Linked DNA regions of Xenopus tropicalis. The protein of the gene in region 1 interacts with the protein of each later gene in a biochemical or structural test. Links are inferred from orthologs where the notes say so. Each region holds a gene or a part of one and is shown on either strand. Other genes may lie near its edges. The genes, in order: ptpn3, scn5a and rps6ka1.

What was found.
Region 2: the proteins of ptpn3 (region 1) and scn5a form a complex in vitro, tested with the Homo sapiens proteins (2 studies listed by IntAct, with this or other methods). The link is inferred for Xenopus tropicalis from reciprocal best matches to the Homo sapiens genes PTPN3 and SCN5A.
Region 3: the proteins of ptpn3 (region 1) and rps6ka1 interact in a test that uses a peptide from one of them, tested with the Homo sapiens proteins (2 studies listed by BioGRID and IntAct). The link is inferred for Xenopus tropicalis from reciprocal best matches to the Homo sapiens genes PTPN3 and RPS6KA1.

The regions. Positions count from the first base shown.
Region 1 is NC_030682.2:75,273,099-75,276,752, reverse strand, and holds part of ptpn3 (tyrosine-protein phosphatase non-receptor type 3), read right to left. Parts: intron 3,476-3,654; coding exon 3,312-3,475; intron 1-3,311.
Region 2 is NC_030682.2:13,563,121-13,566,774, reverse strand, and holds part of scn5a (sodium channel protein type 5 subunit alpha), read right to left. Parts: intron 1,213-3,654; coding exon 1,071-1,212; intron 709-1,070; coding exon 511-708; intron 240-510; coding exon 54-239; intron 1-53. UniProt on the Homo sapiens protein: Pore-forming subunit of Nav1.5, a voltage-gated sodium (Nav) channel that directly mediates the depolarizing phase of action potentials in excitable membranes.
Region 3 is NC_030678.2:77,585,379-77,589,489, reverse strand, and holds the start of rps6ka1 (ribosomal protein S6 kinase alpha-1), read right to left. Parts: upstream 2,904-4,111; 5' UTR 2,625-2,903; coding exon of another isoform or gene 2,576-2,624; coding exon 2,562-2,575; intron 1-2,561. UniProt on the Homo sapiens protein: Serine/threonine-protein kinase that acts downstream of ERK (MAPK1/ERK2 and MAPK3/ERK1) signaling and mediates mitogenic and stress-induced activation of the transcription factors CREB1, ETV1/ER81 and NR4A1/NUR77, regulates translation through RPS6 and EIF4B phosphorylation, and mediates cellular proliferation, survival, and differentiation by modulating mTOR signaling and repressing pro-apoptotic function of BAD and DAPK1.

The DNA.
Region 1 (3,654 bases):
GATTGTGGAGCATAAACAATATTCTGGGATGATACAAAGCTTGTCTTAATAACAGTGTTTACAAAATGGCAGCTGCCTGTTTGCTGTGATTGTGTACTTGCAAGACTGAGGGACACAAGCTTTAACCCTTTTAGTGCCACAGGACGTAGAATCTACGTCCTGTGTATCAAAGTACCTAAGTGCCACGGGACGTAGATTCTACGTCCTGCTGCACTTCCGGATTTGGGAGTGGAGAAGCGGCTTTTCAAGCCGTTCCTTCGCTCCCCGCTCGTTCCCCAGCCTCTAGACAACAGTCAGAGGGGGGGAACGAGTGGCCCCTGGGTCGCGATCACCCAGGGGCCTCATAGGACATACCTGCCATCCACGTGGCTTTCCCCAGCAGTTGTCTCCCTTCTGCAGCTTCCCCCTCTGGCCCCCCTGCTTCCTGCACCGCCCCCTCACATGAGCTGCTGCTGCTGTGCCAGATCCTGACCTTCTAGACCCCAAGTAAGTGGCAAATACACACACAAACACACAATCACACACTTATTACACTAATACACACTTATACTCACACTTACACACACACATGCATTTTTGGGAGGTTTTCACACATTCATAGCACTTACAGAAAACTCACACTTACTTGCACACACACATGCACACAAAACACATTTTACCATGTGTACATACACACTTACACACTGCAGATATTATTAGGCAAAAAAAAATTATTTTAGTGATTTTTTTTTTATTTTTATCAATTTTATTGCTTTTTACATTGTTCTTTGTTACTTGTCTTTGCACATGGACATTTTGTCTGCTGTATTTCAATTTGGCATCCTCTGTACCCCACATAGTTCAGTAAATCTATGTATATAGGGCATCAAACTGTTCAGTAGACCCCTGGCATTCATATTTAGAATGTTTTATGTTGATACGGTACAAAATGTGTGGGTACATAATGGGGTAAAATGCAAGCTTTGTGACAATTTTCAGAAATGTCATAAAAACCGTTCTGTTTAGCATAGCTTTGTAGTTTGGTAGTTTGCAGTAGAAAGTTGTATTTACCCATTTTTGTTTTGTCAGAATGTGTACTTTTGGAAAATATATGGTTTTCTAGGGTGTCCATACTGTTAGGGGGTCTTTGGCACATAATATACATACCGAGTGCAAAATTTGCACGAGCCGGAGCGTCTTATGTGAAAATTCATATGCACTATTTTTATTTGGGTGCCCCTGTAGTTTGGTAAATCTAAGCATATAGGGCATCAAACTGTTCAGTAAACCCCTGGTGTTCACATTTAGAATGTTTTATGTTGATACGGTACAAAATGTGGGGGTACATAATGGGGTAAAATGCAAGCTTTGTGACGATTTTCAGAAATGTAAAAAAAAACGTTCTGTTTCGCATAGCTTTGTAGTTTGCTGTAGAAAGATGTATTTACCCATTTTTGTTTTGTCAGAATGTGTACTTTTGGAAAATGTATAGTTTTCTAGGGTCTCCTTACTGTTAGGGGGTCTTATGGCACATAATGCACATGCCGGTAGCTTATATTGCAGTGTATACACTTTGTATGCACTAACTTCCTTTTGGGGTCTCTAAATGCCATATACATCGGTGATCCTATGCACAATGGGCATCAAACTGTTCAGTGGACCCTTGGCTTTCATATTTCCTTTTGGGGTCTCTAAATGCCATATACATCGGTGATCCTATGCACAATGGGCATCAAACTGTTCAGTGGACCCTTGGCTTTCATATTTAGGGTATGTTTTCTTGGTACCTAATGTTATGTGGGAGATAAGGTGCTTGAAAGTGGAAGATTTGATGTGATTTTCAGGTATTTCACCAAAACTGGCAATTTTGGGAAAGAACTGCGACTCTGTAGTTTGGAGTAGAAAGATATGGGTACCAATTTTGAATTCATCCGAATGTGTACTTTCCAAAAATATATGGTTTTGGGGGGTCAATGTATTTTTTTGTGTTTTTACCCCACAGAAAATGCAGTAAACGTGTTGAATTTCCAGTAGCTAAAGAGACCTCTGGGGCAATTTCTATGCACTAACTTCCTTATGGGGGTCTCTAAATGCCAGATACATTAGTGATCCTATGCACAATGGGCATCAAACTATTCAGCTGACCCTTGGCTTTCATATTTAGGGTGTGTTTTCTTGGTACCTAATGTTATGTGGGAGATAAGGTGCTTGAAAGTGGAAGATTTGATGTGATTTTCAGGTATTTCATCAAAACTGGCAATTTTGGGAAAGCATTGCGACTCTGTAGTTTGGAGTAGAAAGACATGGGTACCAATTTTGAATTCGCCCGAATGTGTAAAGTGGAAGATTAGAGGCGATTTTTTAGAATTTTCATAATTTTTTATAAAAAATGCTAAATTCAGTAAAGCATTGCGGTTTGGTACTTAGGAGTTGGAAGACAGTTACCCATTTCGGATTCGTCAGAATGTGTACTTTTCAAAAATGTATGGTTTCCTGGGGTAAACCTAATGTTTCAGGATTTTTGGCTTTGGAATCTAAAGTATGCCGTATTCTGCTGTAATGCTTTGAAAATGTATACATTTATACATATCAGGTATTGGCACGTTTGGGAGACATGAGGCTTTCCAAATCAGTTGAATTTTTGTCCATAAAATAAAATATGTTTCTGGTATAAATCCCTATATCATGAAAAATAGCATTTTTTTCTTTTTTTTTGTATTTCAAGCTCTAAATCTTGTTCCAGAAGTGGAAATACACAAAAACACAAAAAGCATATTTGGAAAGCTCAGGTTCTCCTGAAAAAACAATATATAGTTTGCCTACCTAAACTTAACCCTGCCCCCAGTAAAAGCCCCTAAATTGAGAGAGCACAGAATGTTTACAAAATGTCTGGCACTGAGGGGAACCGAAATGTCAAATTCTGCTGGCACTTAAAGGGTTAAATAATTTATGTAGCCCAAGTAAAGTTTATTTTCCTCAACTAACATGATAAAATAGGATTTGTAATTATTTCTTAAGGTCCCCTTTAAAGAATATTACGTTGTGATATGCAATATTTGTTCTAAATTGTGCCTTTTTTTTTTTTTTAAAACAAACATTTCTCCAATAAACTTTTCATGCAAATCAAACTCCTTTTATATGGATTATATCAGATCTCTGAAAGCATGTCTTTTGTCAACACAAGACCACATTCTCTATTGTCTGACAGTGTCAAGCACAGCACAACTCTTACTGATGTGGGGGTCAATTAGGTGAATTATTAATTCATACAAAATGATAGATGCTTATTATATTGGTAAATGTTAAACCAAAGATGATATTTCTCAAATTACCTCAAATTGAATGAGCACAACTCCAGTTTCCAAGCCTTTTGAAAGCTGCTCCATTGATCCCTGTAATGTGTCACCATATTCCGAGCAAGTAGGAAGAATTGACGGTGGAAAAAAGGTGAAGTCAGCATCATCTTCTGACTTTGTTTTACCAAGGTGTCTAACAACTATAAGGCAACAGAATAAACACAGATGCTATCACTAACAGACAAACAGGGCTTACTATCATGATCAGTTCAGGACAGCTTGAAATTTTGTGTGAACCCTGTTTTATTTGCATCTAAAGGCTTTAAAATAACTGAAAGCTACCCAAATTGCATCTGAGCCTTTGATGTGAATTTTTCCT
Region 2 (3,654 bases), about 62 Mb from region 1:
GAACCTGAGCAGAGAAATGTGATTCTAATTCACGTTTCAGAATGTAGGATTACCATCTTGCGGAGACTCTCCTCATCCATCTCACCCCTGGGGGGCTTCATATCTTCCCCATACTCTTCCGTTTCTGAGGATTTCTTTTTCTTTCTCCTGTTTCTCCTCTCTTTGGCACTTTTAGAGCTAAATGGTGACATTTCACAGGAACTGTGGGATGCAGCATCTGGTCCCTTGCTGGCTAATGCCTGGTTATAAAGGAAAGATAATAAAGTACTTGGCAACTTTAGTAAGAAAAATGAAATGTGCCAATCTATGTGATGGTGGCATTTGGGTAGTTTGGGTTGGGTAGGGCAGTGTTGGACTGGGGTACCTGGGGCTTGTGGGCAGTCAGCAGGGCCCACCTGGATCGGGGGCCACTGGGGTTCTTCCCAGTATCCCAGTAGGCTAGTCTGACCCTGGGGTACAGGGATAGATAGATGGTGTCAAGGAAGATTTAGTGTGTGAGCATGTGCTAACCTCTTGTTCTTTCTTTAATTGCTCCATGGCTTGCTGGAATTCCCTCTCTTTCGCTTCTGCTTCGGCAATGGTGGCTTGGTTCTGCTCTTCATACGCCATAGCCACTACGGCCAGGATCAAATTTACAAGGTAAAAAGAACCCAAAAAGATGACGAAGACGAAAAAGATCATGTATGTCTTCCCTGCTGCTCGGAGAGTCTGAAACAACAATTATATCCTTATAACTTACAGATGGGGATAATATTTTGGTAAAACATAAGCAGTTATAAGGGGAGATAGAAGTCCATGTATGTAAAGGCCATAGCTGATGGGCAGGGTCAGTATAGGTGGGAGTATTAGTTCCCAGCCAGGTAGGGGTGCCTTGGGAAGCAGGGGGGCTTCGGTATGACCCAGTATAGAAGGTGGAATTACTCTGTTCCCTGCTAGCGCTCTCTAAGGAATCAGAAAATCTGCAGAAGGGTCCCCTCCTTGGATAGAATTCAGGGAACCCCCCCTCACAAATGAGGAGCAGACCTGCAATAGCTTAAGTAAGGATTGAAGTTGAGTTGTTAAGTTCATACCTGTTGATATAAGTTCTCCCAATAGTCCTGCGTCATGAGGCGGAATAGGGAAAGAAATGCCCAGCCAAACGTATCAAAACTGGTGTAGCCATAATTTGGGTTTCTGCCAGTCTTCATGCAAATAAACCCATCAGGGCACTTCCTAGAAGGACCAAGGAGAAGCAAAGGAATAAGTCATAGCAGATATATTGGCTTTATACAAAACCTTATAATAAATACAACTCCCAATCAGATTGCAATAGGTTCCCCCACTATAATCCAACATTATTTATTTATAGACAAATATGCTCCCAGTTCCATCTCCTCCTCTTTGTATTCAATTACTATTGTGCAAAGGTGACTGAACCATCATCATCTTCACATAGGCTTAAACATCAGAACAATTGTGTGCCCCTAGATTTCTAGATTTCATTAAAGACATGTCATTCCAAGTTTATTTAGATTTTTTTTTCTACCTACCATATTATTGGGTTACCAAGCCCAAACTGCCATTTTGTGGAGTCTGGCAAATGCCGGAGGGGCTGCTGTAATATACCATAGACAGTCACTATTTATTGGACTAGTGGGGGCCTCTGTGTAATGGAAATGTGAGTTGAAATGTCTAAACCCTTTCTGTAAAGGCAAATTAGCCAATGTTTTCACAGAGTTTAAGTTTCCCAGGGGACGGCATAAAAACCGCATAAATTCCAGGAAAAAATAAGATCCGGGAAAAAAGGGACCGTAAAAAAATGGCGCCATTTCCAGAAACGTAAAATCTGGGTTCTACTGTTTCTGTCAATGTACAAACGACACAATTGGTCTTGCTTTGGAATATTCAGGGTCCTCGCCCCACCCATGTCCCTTTTATATTCCAGAAAAGAGACAGTATTACAATTCCAGAATGAAATAGGTACATAGAATATCAAATATCATAATTGCAAAACGAAGACGTGTGTTGCGTAACAATTAATATTCCATTAGGACAATACTTATTATTTCCCCAAAAGCTAAGGCTAGCTCGCAGGGTAATCACAATAAACTACAAACTAAGAAATGGTAGTAATCTAAACTTAGAAATGGCTCAATTAATTTAACCTAAATGTCTCAAATGTCAGGAAATCAAGTAAATAAAACGTACCAAATACAAAAGAGAGATCCGGGTGTATAAACCCCGGATCTGTCTCACAGTTGATATAGGTCAAATTCCCAACACCATCATATCAGCTCTCACAATGTGAAATCCTAAATGCAAAGAACTCACCGTTGTTCAGAAGTGGTTCAGGTGCTCAGAGCCCCGAACCTGTAGCTGGGGAAGGCGAAATCACGCATATGCAAAAGGGCTCCAAATGCACCGGACACAGCGGCTTGCTTAAAACTCGATTTTTATTACTCCATTTAAAAACAATACGCCTGACGCGTTTCGTGTAAATATACACTTAATCACTATGATTAAGTGTATATTTACACGAAACGCGTCAGGCGTATTGTTTTTAAATGGAGTAATAAAAATCGAGTTTTAAGCAAGCCGCTGTGTCCGGTGCATTTGGAGCCCTTTTGCATATGCGCAGGGTAATCACAGCCAATAAAAGTTAATTCAGAACACACTACAATAAATGAGAGATTTTGGAGAGCGGACAAGAAGCGAATGCGAGGGTCTCTCCAGAGTGGCTGTAGAATAACTCCAGACTGTCTCGCCAACCAAGATTTCCAGTTCTGCTGGGAGCCACTGCCTGCCTAACGGAATGACATTCAGCTTTAGAATGACCTAGGGAACACTGCCATGGGAATGTTGGTGCTGTCAGCCAGAAGCCAGAATCGAACAGAATGTCACATATGATGGGCTCGGCCTTCAGCATTAAAGGCCCACGGACCCCTTTTTTCCCTTTATACTAGTTTAATGGCTAATATTACCATGGCGATTGTTTTCCTCTTACCTGATGGCCAATATGGAGGTGCCATTACCTAAGCTTGCTGTTTCACTGTTGCACTGATTGAGGTTAGGTTTACCATCTTTTTATAATATCTGTACCAGCCAAGTGGGGGGAACGGCACAAATGGGGGTGGATCATGATGCAATAGGGAAGGGTTGTGACATCACAGGGGCAGAGCAACAACTTCAAGTTTCATCATCCAGCATGGAATCCAAAGAGGGTTTGGTGAGTATGAAAGCTAGAAAGGGGCAGGCTGGGAGTGGATTGGAGGCAGGCTGTTGCAAATTCATTATTTATAACAAGTACATTGCCATTAAATTTATAATATTGGCCTTGGTTGGTATTTGGCAACCCAAACTGAGCCGTTCAGTTACTCTAGGTATATAACCTTTCCCATAGCTCCCCTGTAGTGTTATGATTCTCTTAGAAGAAGCCAAACAAGCTTCCTTAAAGCCTTCAATAGTCCTACTATTGTCAGGCCCTCATTTGTGGAAAGTCCACAAAAGACCAGGCCTAGGGCAGCAGAATTGTAGAGGCAGTATGTTGTCTGGGCCCACCTGAACTTGGGACTGGGGGGGGATTATTGTACTGCAATTAAGACGGGAGAGGGTTAGTAAGGGCAAGAAAGTACATAGATGTCCCTGTGAAACCGAACCCTAAGTATAAGCCCCTTA
Region 3 (4,111 bases), on another chromosome or scaffold:
CGCCTGACCAAAATTCTCCCTTCAGAGCTGAATCGGCAGAAGGAGGTAGAAATCCTATTGTTTCTACCTCCTTACCTACCGATTCAGCCCTGAATGGTGTGTGGCGGATCTTACGATGTTTCGTGCGACCGATGGTCGTACGAAACATCGTCAGATCGCCACGTGTATGGCCACCTTAAATCATGGAACAACAAAGTTGGTGAACAGGGTGCTATGCTACGTATATACATCCATAATGAAGTAAACCTGGTTTTTAGTATTGCTCTTAATTTTGACACCCTTAGAAATTATGCAGAAGTATAATATGAGGTAAACCTTTTTCCCCTTCAGGTGACCTAACTGAAGGAAGAAGTGTTTTAATTTTGACTGTCAGTAATCAGGAAATGTTTATACACGCAGTGCCTCAAACATAAGAACTAAAGTGCAGTTGCCAACTGCAACCAATCATGTCTCTTTCTAACAGTAGTGGACTGTTGAAATCTAATTGCTGATTGCACACAAAACACCACAAACACAAACAGTATTTGAGATGCATTAATTTTCTCTGACAGTCAAAGCTATTAAAGCAGATAGGTATTAATGGCAATTTGCTTTTTTGTAATGTGTGCGTGGTTCATAGTTTGTTCTTTTTATAGCTAGGAGACATACTTTCTTTATCATGCTGAACTGGGTGCGCCTGCGGAGCGATATCTTTTTTTCCATGTTTAGCTAATCCTCCCCCTTGATTTCATTTAACCAGTGTATAGTGTAAACCTTTGTGCACCACTGCCGTTAGCAATGCAATACCTTCTAGTTCTGCACCAGCAAAATCAACACACAGCACCCTGAAATGTTAAAATTTACTCTCTGCCCTTTGCTTTAATAAAGAAAGTGTAATATAATGTGGGGTGTTTTAATTATTGTGGTCTAGTGGAAAGAATCCACTTCAGCATATACACCAAATATATATTTATAAAAGGGAATGGCTAGCGAGTTGCCTAGATAGTGCTTCTACATTTAAGTACTTTCTTAACTGAACAAGCTCAACTATTGAAATAGTATATAAAGGTGTAGGATCCCTTTTCCGGAAACCCGTTATCCAGAAAGTTCCAAATTACGGAAAGGACATCTCCCATAGACTCCATTATAAGCAAATAATTCTAATTTTTAAAAACAATTTCCTTTTTCTCTGTAATTATAAAACAGTACCTTGTACTTGATCTCAACTAAGATATAATTACGGTAATACTTACTGGAGGCAAAACAATCCTATTGGGTTTTAATGACGTTTAAATTATTTCTTAAGGTCCCCATACACGGGCCAACTATAGCTGCCGATATCGGTCCCTTGGACCGATTCGGCAGCTAATCGGCCCGTGTATGGGGAGAGCCGAGCAGCCTGGCCGACCGATATCTGGCCTGAAATTGGCCAGATCTCGATCGGGCAGGTTAGAAAATCCGGTCGGATCGGGGACCACATCGGCTCGTTGATGCGGTCCCCGATCCGACTGCCCCATTGCCGCCCACATAATCCGATCGTTTGGCCCCAGGGCCAAACGATCGGATTATTTTTTTTTTTACCTAAAGGCTCCCCGATATCGCCCACCCGTAGGTGGGGATATTGGGGGAAGATCCGCTCGCTTGGCGACATCGCCAAGCGAGCGGATCTGCTCGTGTATGGCCACCTTTAGTAGACTTAAGGTATGGAGATCCAAATTACAGAAAGATCCCTTATCCGGAATGCCCCAGGTCCCCAGCATTCTTGATAACAGGTTCAATACCCGAACCTGCATTCCAAATATTTTAGATGTGCTAATCTTTAATTCAGTTGGGATCTTTTTTTTTTTTTTTTTTTTTTTTTTGAAGCATTAAGGAAATTTAGTTCATGTTCAAGTCACACTGTGTTCTAAGGCACACAAGATCTTACAAAATGAATATTGTATTAAAAAGGGATTTATTGCAATATAGTTATTGAAATAAAAGCTCTCAATCTCTCAAAACATAATTAATGAACACAAATGTCAATGTATAGGAGGACATCAACCTGCGTTCTACAGCTGCTTGCTAACTACAGTCGAACTGTGGGGGACGGCTGGAACTGCAGATTCAGCAACAGGTGGATTGCTACAGAATACAGTTCCACATTAAATATATACCAAGATCAGTCAATGGCTGTTGATCAGCGGCTTCAACAGCAGGAGGGATGTGCGACCTGTGACCACAAGTTCTGCAGTAGGGAAACATAAGATGTGCAGCCTCTAATTGAATTCCGCGGTGGGGGGCTCAGAAATAGTAAATATACACCACCTCTGAAAGAAGTGCATGACTGAAATTGTGACGAATATCGGCAGCCCATAAAGAGCTGAAGGCCATCAGGTAACACGCACAGTCTTTCTCTTATGAAGAGACGCAAGAGAATGCGGCAGCAACACATACACACGAACCCATGCTATTCTAAAAGACCTATTCTAACCGTAAGTAGCTTTGATTGGTTGTAATCAGAAAACACTGCTACCTCCCCCCCTCCAACATTTTCTGACTGCTTCAGCTTCGAAACCTCGTCCGCAACTGACAGTTCTCACCTCCGTCTCCTCATGAACCACCTCCACCTCGGGCCAAAGATCCACTAGTTGTGCCAGCGGCATCTTCAACGCGTTCTCTCAGGTGCTACACAACGTAAAGCAGGGACACCGCTGCGCACCCTGCACGGCTTGAAACGCAAAATAATTAAATACGAAGATTCCAGCTTTCAGTCACTGTTTAAGTTACTATCGACAATTATTTATGATACGTAGGGTCTGCGTAGTCCAGGTCCTTTTTTTCCGCTATAACGCCTGCACCTCTCGCACTTAGTCTACACTACTCGGTGTCCGGCGACAGACTGACCGCTTGACTCCTCCTAACTCACTGACAGAAGGGCACGTGCCGCCCTGCCCGCCTACTATTGGCTCCTCCCGGTTTCTAAGCTGTCAATTGGCCCCTTGTTCAGAAAAGGCGGTGTTTCTGGTACTAACCCATTCCGCATTCCCTCAGGTGAATCTTTGCTTTTACTACTCCGAAGATTTAAGCGGGAAAGAATGGGCAACGTTTCGCTAAGTGCGCCATCTTGTGGCATGAGGCGTAAGAATAGTACGGTTCTGAGTGAGACAATCGCTTTTATATCTTGTACAACACTTAGGGGTACATTTACTAAGACACGAATCTGAACCGAATTGGAAAAATTCCGACTTGAAAACGAACATTTTGCGACTTTTTCGTATTTTTTGCGATTTTTTCAGCGTCTTCACGACTTTTCGGAAATTGTCGCGACTTTTTCGTTACCAATACGATTTGCGCGAAAAAACGCGAGTTTTTCGTAGCCATTCCGAAAGTTGCGCAAAATCGCCCGATTTTTTCGTAGCGTTAAAGCTTGCGCGAAAAGTTGCGCAACTTTTAACGCTACGAAAAATGGCCAGATTTTGCGCAACTTTCGGAATGGCTACGAAAAACTTGCGTTTTTTTCGCACAAATCGTATTAGTAACGAAAAAGTCGCGACATTTTTCCGAAAAAATCGCAAAATACCGATCATTACGAAAAAAATGCAATTGGACGCATTCGGCCCGTTCGTGGCTTAGTAAATGTGCCCCTTAGGGGCCGTTCATTAAACCACGCTTTTTTTTTTTTTTTTTGAGAAAAAAAAAAATCAAAATTTTTGTAATGCCCACGATAATTTCGTTAAAATTCCACAACTTTTTCGTGGGTTTAGTTAACTTCCACAAAAAGTCATATTTTTCACAAAGACTACAACCATTTCGGAATTCATTCAAGCTTTGGTATCGTGACTTTCTTTTGGCCAGGTTGGATCTGTAGAGTGCCGTTGAGTCCTAAGGAAGACTTCCAAAATCATATGTAGCCCACTTTAGCTGGCAGTGCTGCTACTGGTGCCCTCTTGGCTTACTTCTGGCGCAGAAGTCGTGAGCCCCCACTTACTATGGGGGTAACAGGGAGTCTTCACTGTTAATGGCATGCCTCCACCCAGGGGTGATGTGGGACTATAACTCCCACCCTGGGACTTGATATTACACTGTAACCTTTGTCAGGGACTCCACACAACTCCTGGCTCCTTGCCCCTCCCATGGGGTAGTAGCTTAC